Linked DNA regions of Nothobranchius furzeri. The protein of the gene in region 2 purifies or fractionates together with the protein of the main gene of each other region. This does not show direct contact. Links are inferred from orthologs where the notes say so. Each region holds a gene or a part of one and is shown on either strand. Other genes may lie near its edges.

Region 1 (2,884 bases), on a different chromosome or scaffold from region 2:
CACCCCCACTCTCATGCGCTTGTGTTGTGTGATGCCATTTCCATGGCAACCGCTGGTGGAGACCTCTGGCTCCTCGCCAGAAGCTCCTCCCACATTCAGCAGGCTCTGGGTCAGGTTACGGACCATCACGGCCGGTGCTCCTGTGTCACAAACGCACCATGAGAAACCGAGGTGGTCGATGTCGGAGCCCAGAGGTTCTCCATTCTCTAACCGGGTTGTTTGTGGACCACAGAACCGACGATCCAAGCGTCCAGGTGGACCTGGAGCTGGCGCAGGACCCTCTGAGCATCAACGGGGGCCACCACAAGCACCGCCCCCACGCCACAGTTAAAGGTTCTGCTCATCTCCTCCTCACTCACACGGCCTTCGGTGTGGAGCCAGGAGAAGACCGGAGGGATGGTCCAGCGGGATGCGTCTATGTCATGGAGACACGTTAGCATTAGCACACGTTAAACATCCCATAATCATCCTCTCCTCTCACCTAACTCCACAGCCAGCTCCCGGGGCAGAACCCGGGGGATGTTCTCCAGGAGACCCCCCCCTGTGATGTGAGCGTACGCCTTGACGGCGCCGCTGCGCAGGACCGGCAGCAGCGGCCGGCTGTAGATGTTGGTGGGAGTCAGCAGGACCTCGCCTGAAACCGCAGCAGAAGGAGAAGAGGACGATTATCCCTAAAGCTGAGCAGGAATATCAGGAATGCTGATCCTAACCCTCACCGACGCTCTGGCCCTGCCTCCCAAACGGAGCGGGGGCGCTGTAGCTCAGCCCGGCCTGCTCCAGGACCTTACGGACCAGACTGAACCCGTTACTGTGGACCCCCGAGGACGCCAGCCCGATCAGCAGGTCCCCCTCAGAGATGTCCTCCAGCCTAGGCAGCAACCCCCCTCGCTCCACCGCCCCCACACAGAACCCCGCCAGGTCGTACTCGCCCGGGGCGTAGACGCCCGGCATCTCCGCCGTCTCGCCGCCTGTCAGAGGACAAACACGGCATCAGCATCTTTTGTACGTTCTTTCTGTGTTTATCTTCAAATTCCATTTTTGGTTCTTTTTTAAACACAAATAAGGTTTTTCTTTACCTTGCTGACGTTTCGTTGGCGGCCGCCAACGAAACGTCAGCAAGGTAAAGAAAAACCTTATTTGTGTTTAAAAAAGAACCAAAAATGGAAAATGAAACATATTGGTCATCTGTAATAACCCAACTGACCCAGCAGAGCGCAGCCGGCCGCCTCACACGCCTTAGCGATGCCACCGACGACCACAGAGGCCACGCCCACATCCAGCCTCCCGCAGGAAAAGTAGTCCAGGAAGAAGAGAGGCTCCGCCCCCTGAGCCAGCACATCGTTGACACACATGGCCACCAGGTCCTGACCCAGACCACCGTGCTGGCCACACGCCTGCGCCACCTGGTGGGAGGTCAAACAAAGGTCACGTAAGCTCCAGACCTGGAGACAGAACCACAGCAGGAGTCCAACCTTGAGTTTGGTCCCGACGCCGTCCGTCCCCGAGACCAGAACCGGGTCGACGAACCCCGCTGCCTTCAGGTCAAAGAGCCCGGCGAATCCTCCGAGTTCAGCGTTACATCCTGAGACAAAGTTCAGACTTTAGCGGCACGGCCGGACCCCAGAGCCGGTAAAACCCAGGTTACCATGGTTACCGGGGCGTGACGTGGCCTTGGCCAGAGGTCTGATGATGTCCACCAGCTTGTTCCCCGCAGCGATGTCCACTCCGCTGTCCTTATAGGTCAGGCCGCAGCTGGACACAAACAAACTTTAGCTTCTAGCGTTTCACGATGAGCAAAGCTCACCGTGATCCCTCACCGGTTCTGGTTCAGGTGGGCCAAGGCCCGGTGGCCGATGTCTCTACGGTACACGGCCCCAGGGAAGTCCACGGCGGCTGCGCCCTGATTGGCTGCCTGCAGGGCGGTCTCCAGAGACGGTCTTACAGCTGTGACCGTCAGAACTCGACCTCCACTGGACACCACGACTCCGCCCTTCAGGGCGGTGCCGGCGTGGAACACCTGCAGTCCCATGTCCTGGACCAGGGACAAACCTGGAGGACAACAGGTCAGACGCACCTGCAGCCCTGACATCAGCTGCAGCAAAAGCAGCGGAGACCTTACCTCGGATCTCCACCCCTCTCTGGTAGGAACCCGGGTACCCAGCGCTGGCCAGAACCACCGTGACTGCAAAGCTGTCCTGGAGCCACACGGGGGCGCTGGAGGACAGCTTCCCACTCATGGTGTCGAGTATCACCTGGTGCAGGTCGCTCTGCAGCAGCGGCAGCAGCACCTGCAGAGAGCCCCAGGTGTAATCTAATCCAGACTCTAATCCCATTCCCACCTGAGACCCACCTGACACTCCGGGTCTCCAAAGCGACAGTTGAACTCCAGAACCTTCGGGCCCTGCTGGGTCAGCATCAGACCTGCGTACAGCACACCTGAACCAAACAAACCACCGTAAGTCAGAACCGGTCCCAGTAAAACCCGGGTAGATAAATAAAAACACTAACCCACGTAGGGGGCCCCCTCCTCCTTCATCCCATCTACGGTTCTCTGCAGAACCGACTCTCGGATCTGCTGCAGCATCTCCAGACTCACCTGTTCAAATCAAACCTATTTAACGGTTCTGAGGGGATCAGCTGGGGGTTCTTCGCGGGTTCTGCTTCTACCTGAGGAGTCGGGCTGTACGCTCCCATCCCGCCGGTGTTTGGACCCAGATCTCCGTCCCGAAGCCGTTTGTGATCCTGGGCTGGAGGCATGGGCGCCACGGAGACGCCATCGCTGAAACACAGACACTACAGAGCAACACCCACCCGGGTTACGAACTGCACCCCCACCTGGGTGATCTGACGTTAACACTCACCGACACCTCCTCCCCCTCCAGAA
Region 2 (4,416 bases):
TCCACTGATCTCAGGCTCAGGGGGAGAGAGGTCCAGAGTCTGGGGGCCACAGCAGCAGATGATCTGTCACCTTTGACCTTTAGCCTGGTGCTGCACAACCAGTAGGCTTTGATCACTGGACCTCAGGGACCTGCTGGGGGTGTAGGGACTGAGAAGATCACCAATGTAAGATGGTGCTTGTCCATGTAAGGCCCTATAGACCAGAACCAGGATCTTGAAATGAACCCTGAAGTTGACTGGCAGCCAGTGAAGCTGGAGGAGAAGCGGGGTGATGTGGGTGTGTTTGGAGGACTTGGTCAGAAGCCGAGCACAGGCGTTCTGAACCACCTGTAGACGGTTCAGGGAGGTTCTGCTCAGACACGTGAAAAGAGAGTTACAGTAGTCTAAGCGTGAGGAGATGAAGGTGTGGAGAACTGTCTCAAGTTCAGAGCGGGACAGAATGGGACTCAGCTTAGCAACGTTCCTGAGATGGAAGAAGGAAGAGCCAACAAGAGAACTGACATGAGAATCCAGGGTGAGAGCTGGGTCAAAGGTCACGCCAAGATTCCTGACAGAAGGTTTGGTGTGAGAAGCAAGCTGACCAAGAGAGTCTCTGACTTTGGGAACCAGCTTGTCTGGGGCACACATGAGGATCTCAGTCTTATCTTCATTCAGCTGAAGAAAGCTCCCACCATCCAGGCTTTGATAGAGTCTAAGCAGGTGTGGAACAGCTGCAGCTTAGACATCTCATGGGGCTCAAGGTGCTTTAGGAAGCAAAACATCCCAATTAAACCTACTAAACAGCGTTCACTTCATTATTCCAGTTAGGTAAGTCTTCCAGCTCTTCCCTCTCAGCTGGCCAGGGAATGTCAGAGTCCTTCAGATCGAGCAGCAGGACAGCTACGGCATTCCAAACGACTGACCAGAACGGGCGGACGTTCCAGCTTTTACTCCAACATCCATACAGAACAGTCTGAGTCTTGTGCGTGCTCTCACCTGTGATCAGATATTCTCGACGCCTTCTTACAGTCAAAGGTCTGCGAGTCCATGATGTACTCAAACTCATCCACTCTTTCTGTGGCATAGTTCATGTGAGCCGTCAGGTGGCAGTTGAGGAAGCAGACCATGTGACCATAAAGGGACAGGCGGATAGACACGCCACCTTTGTTACCCTGAAAACCAAACAAGAGACACACTCTGCAATGCTGTCGTCAGCTCTTAGGCTAAGCTACGTCCTGTTAGCATACAGACCAACTCACACACAGCTTTTGATTAAAACACCTCCTGCTTCTGTGCCTGAGGGAGGAACTCATAATCCGCACGTCTGATCAGCAGCCGCGGATCTTCAGAGGGACCAGCTTTTACTAATTGGTTTGGTTTTAATTTAATAAATAATGACAGAGGGCAATCTGCTCGAAAACGACGCCTGAGGTTGACCTTGAAAGGTAAAATCCTTGAGCAGAAAGAAGGTTGATCTCTCTCTCTCCCTCTCGTGTGTGTGTGTTCTGCTCACCCAGTAGCCAAAGATGCCTGTGCGTGTGTAGGTGGTCTGGATGTCTCTGATGAAGGGGACATGCTCCAGTTTAGAGAAGCAGAGCAGCACCAAACCCTGCATTCTGATAGAAGATACCTGAAACACAGATGCACACCTGAGACGACACACACAGAAACACACACTGATCGTGAGATGGTGTGTGTCCGTACCTTTACATAATTCAGCGGAGCTAAGGTGGACATCAACCGGTGAGTCCACGGGTCATCGAACATCATATCAGACACAAACCTCAGCAGTCCTGAGTAGACCTCCTGCAGACTGAACACACATCTGACCGTCAGGCCAGTCGCTGATGCAGGAGACACTTCTGGAGATAAAAAACAACTCGTCTGTACCCGATGACGTAGAGGTCGGCTCTTTTGGGTGAATTCAGGTGAAGAAGAGCAGCCACATCTTCTGGAGGATCAGCTGTGGCCACGTTCCACGTCACTAGGTGAAGCCTGTGAGACAGGGGGGGGGGGGGGGGGGGGGTTAAGCTGGAAAAGCTCAGATGAATCAACTGAAAATATACCAGCTAGATACTGCTGGTCTTCCTTCCTGACCGCCACCTGCTTTCAGGTAAACACCTCATTTCTCTGGTTGTTAAGAGCACCTACAAGAGTTACTGCAGCAGGGTTGTTCTGTTTCATACGACAGGATAATAAACGTCCATGATATGTGCACATATGTATATTACACAGCCATAGTCACATGGTTACAACCCATGTGCAGCACATTTGTTGCTGCGTTAGCTTTGGAACCAAAGCCTCTTCCACTTCAGAAAAAACAATAACAAGAAAATCCCTCCTGGGCGACAACGCTGTAACATGCAGCTCAGACTCAAACCCACATCCGTTAGACTAATGAACAACAGACTAAAGAGTCACGTCCACTGGAAGGCTCCAGAAGGCAATTACGAGGTTTGATCACAGTGTGATAGGACCAGTCTGGACACAGACACTGTCCAGAAGGAGACCGATTCTAGATTCAGCAGAAAGGCGAGTGAGAAGCTGCAGCATCCTCCACCTGAGTCGGTCCTTCTTTGGCTTGTTGGCTCGTCTCGAGCAGACCAGGAAGGCGCTGTCCAGGGTCCTGACCATTTTCTCATGCAGCTCAGTTTTGGGGTCCAGATCGTCCACACAGGTCATGAGCTGGCTGAGCTGATGGCACAGAGCCAGTTTACTTCCTGTTGACTGTGTGGCATCGGATGAAAGGGTGTTGCTGCGGACGCGTCCAACAGAACCCAACAGCCACCTGGCATCATCCATACCAGCTCAGGGTGTCACCTCCACTGGGTTCAGCTGCCTGCTTGAATACCACAGCCCTGAAGAGACCATTAGTTTATGAATGCGCTAGAGATCGCAAATAAAACAAGAAGCTGAGGCGCGGTAATCCTTTCCCGTGTGGAACCAGCTGGCTGAATGAGGAGACGAGAGTCCAGGCTCTGGGGTTCGGGAGGCAGAGTTTCAGAGCAACTGGGAAACTTGGACTCGTGTACTAAAATAGCTTCTAATCTGCTTGTGAAACATCTCAACAATAGGCCGGTTAAAAGTTGAGAAAATACCTTCCTCGTGTGAACGTAAAGGACTCTCTGTCCCGGGTGAGCTGCTGAGCTCATAACTGCTCTTTCTTCAGCCTGAACAGCAAGACTTTGTTCTTCTAGGGCAAATCCCATTCAGAGCTGCACCGTTAAGCAACATAATCCACCAGCTAGAATGCAGCAGTCTGGTAAACGCAGCACTGTGTTCAGTCCAGCAGCACATTCAGCTCCACAGGCAGATAATCAGGTTGTTCAGGAGCTTACAGGAAGGGACCTTTAACCCTAACCCTAACCTCTGACAAATGCGGACGATGTAAAGCGTGTTTTACGATCAGACAAACAGGTGACTGTTCAGAAATACATGTATATGTAAACTAAATCTAAATACACACAGATCTGCTACTACTTTGGCTCAGACAGATGAGTTAAAGCTTCTGATGCGTTCAGGTGATCCAAAGAAGAAAAACTGCTGAGCTGGTGACTCGGTTACTGATGAATACAGCAAAGGAGACGGACTGGTCCACTGTTCTCAAGTTGCTGAGAAGAAATAGTGTTGTCCATCCATCCACTACCTAAACTGTGTTATCCTCACTAGGGTTGTAGATCCTGACAAAAATGAGATACAGTTTGTGAAGCGCAGCTGTGGTTTGTGTCCTTTAAAGAGAAACTGACAAATAATTCACAAACGGCTCAATAAACAAACAACCTGAGGTTCTGTCTTGGTCTCAACAAGAACCCATTATAAACCCTTATTTCTTTTTATTTTAGGGTTAGGGTTAGGGTTAGGGTTAACCCTTGTCCCTCAACCCAAATCCTCGGATCACGCATTTTAGCTAAAACGCTAACGTTAGCTTGCCTTGCGTTGACTGTAGAGTTGTGGGTGATGGTCACGCAGATGTGTCATGAGATTTGAAGCGTTGCTGCCTTTCACAGACACTTTTTCTGCACGTGCTGCAAACAGGATAGCCGTCTTCTATCAACTGTCCCTCGGCATTCTTCACATATCCAAAAGATGCCCGTACTTCCCACTTTGTCTTCTTTGAGGGATAACAAATGTCCTGAGCGCTGCCGTCTCCTCCTTTGGCCATTATTTCAGCTTTAGCTTCAAGAAAGTTTTGGTTGTAAACAACAAAGCGCGCATGTGCCGCCGGCAACTTCAGCAGATGATACGGTGGCTGGTAAGGGTCACCGCGCCTACACCGCAGCCACAGTAATCCCACCAAGATAATATAGTTCTTTAAAAACAAGACGGTTATTATTATTGTCAACTTTTTTTTTTACCGGGGTTTAACGCTACACCGGTTACCGTGACAACCCTACCTGATCGGTCTGCTTTGATCTATTTTGAAAACTCCACTCAAAA

Evidence for each region.
Region 1: the proteins of inpp5ka (region 2) and gart purify together in Homo sapiens (co-immunoprecipitation; 3 studies listed by BioGRID and IntAct, counting the BioPlex papers as one, with this or other methods). This does not show direct contact. The link is inferred for Nothobranchius furzeri from reciprocal best matches to the Homo sapiens genes INPP5K and GART.

What each region holds. Positions count from the first base shown.
Region 1 is NC_091754.1:46,922,703-46,925,586, reverse strand, and holds part of gart (trifunctional purine biosynthetic protein adenosine-3), read right to left. Parts: coding exon 2,862-2,884; intron 2,794-2,861; coding exon 2,668-2,793; intron 2,597-2,667; coding exon 2,509-2,596; intron 2,437-2,508; coding exon 2,351-2,436; intron 2,289-2,350; coding exon 2,120-2,288; intron 2,050-2,119; coding exon 1,818-2,049; intron 1,753-1,817; coding exon 1,655-1,752; intron 1,583-1,654; coding exon 1,473-1,582; intron 1,404-1,472; coding exon 1,205-1,403; intron 969-1,204; coding exon 717-968; intron 635-716; coding exon 482-634; intron 416-481; coding exon 212-415; intron 141-211; coding exon 1-140. UniProt on the Homo sapiens protein: Trifunctional enzyme that catalyzes three distinct reactions as part of the 'de novo' inosine monophosphate biosynthetic pathway.
Region 2 is NC_091753.1:62,185,838-62,190,253, forward strand, and holds the start of inpp5ka (inositol polyphosphate 5-phosphatase Ka), read right to left. Parts: upstream 3,006-4,416; 5' UTR 2,782-3,005; coding exon 2,540-2,781; intron 1,975-2,539; coding exon 1,870-1,974; intron 1,793-1,869; coding exon 1,684-1,792; intron 1,610-1,683; coding exon 1,493-1,609; intron 1,152-1,492; coding exon 976-1,151; intron 1-975. UniProt on the Homo sapiens protein: Inositol 5-phosphatase which acts on inositol 1,4,5-trisphosphate, inositol 1,3,4,5-tetrakisphosphate, phosphatidylinositol 4,5-bisphosphate and phosphatidylinositol 3,4,5-trisphosphate.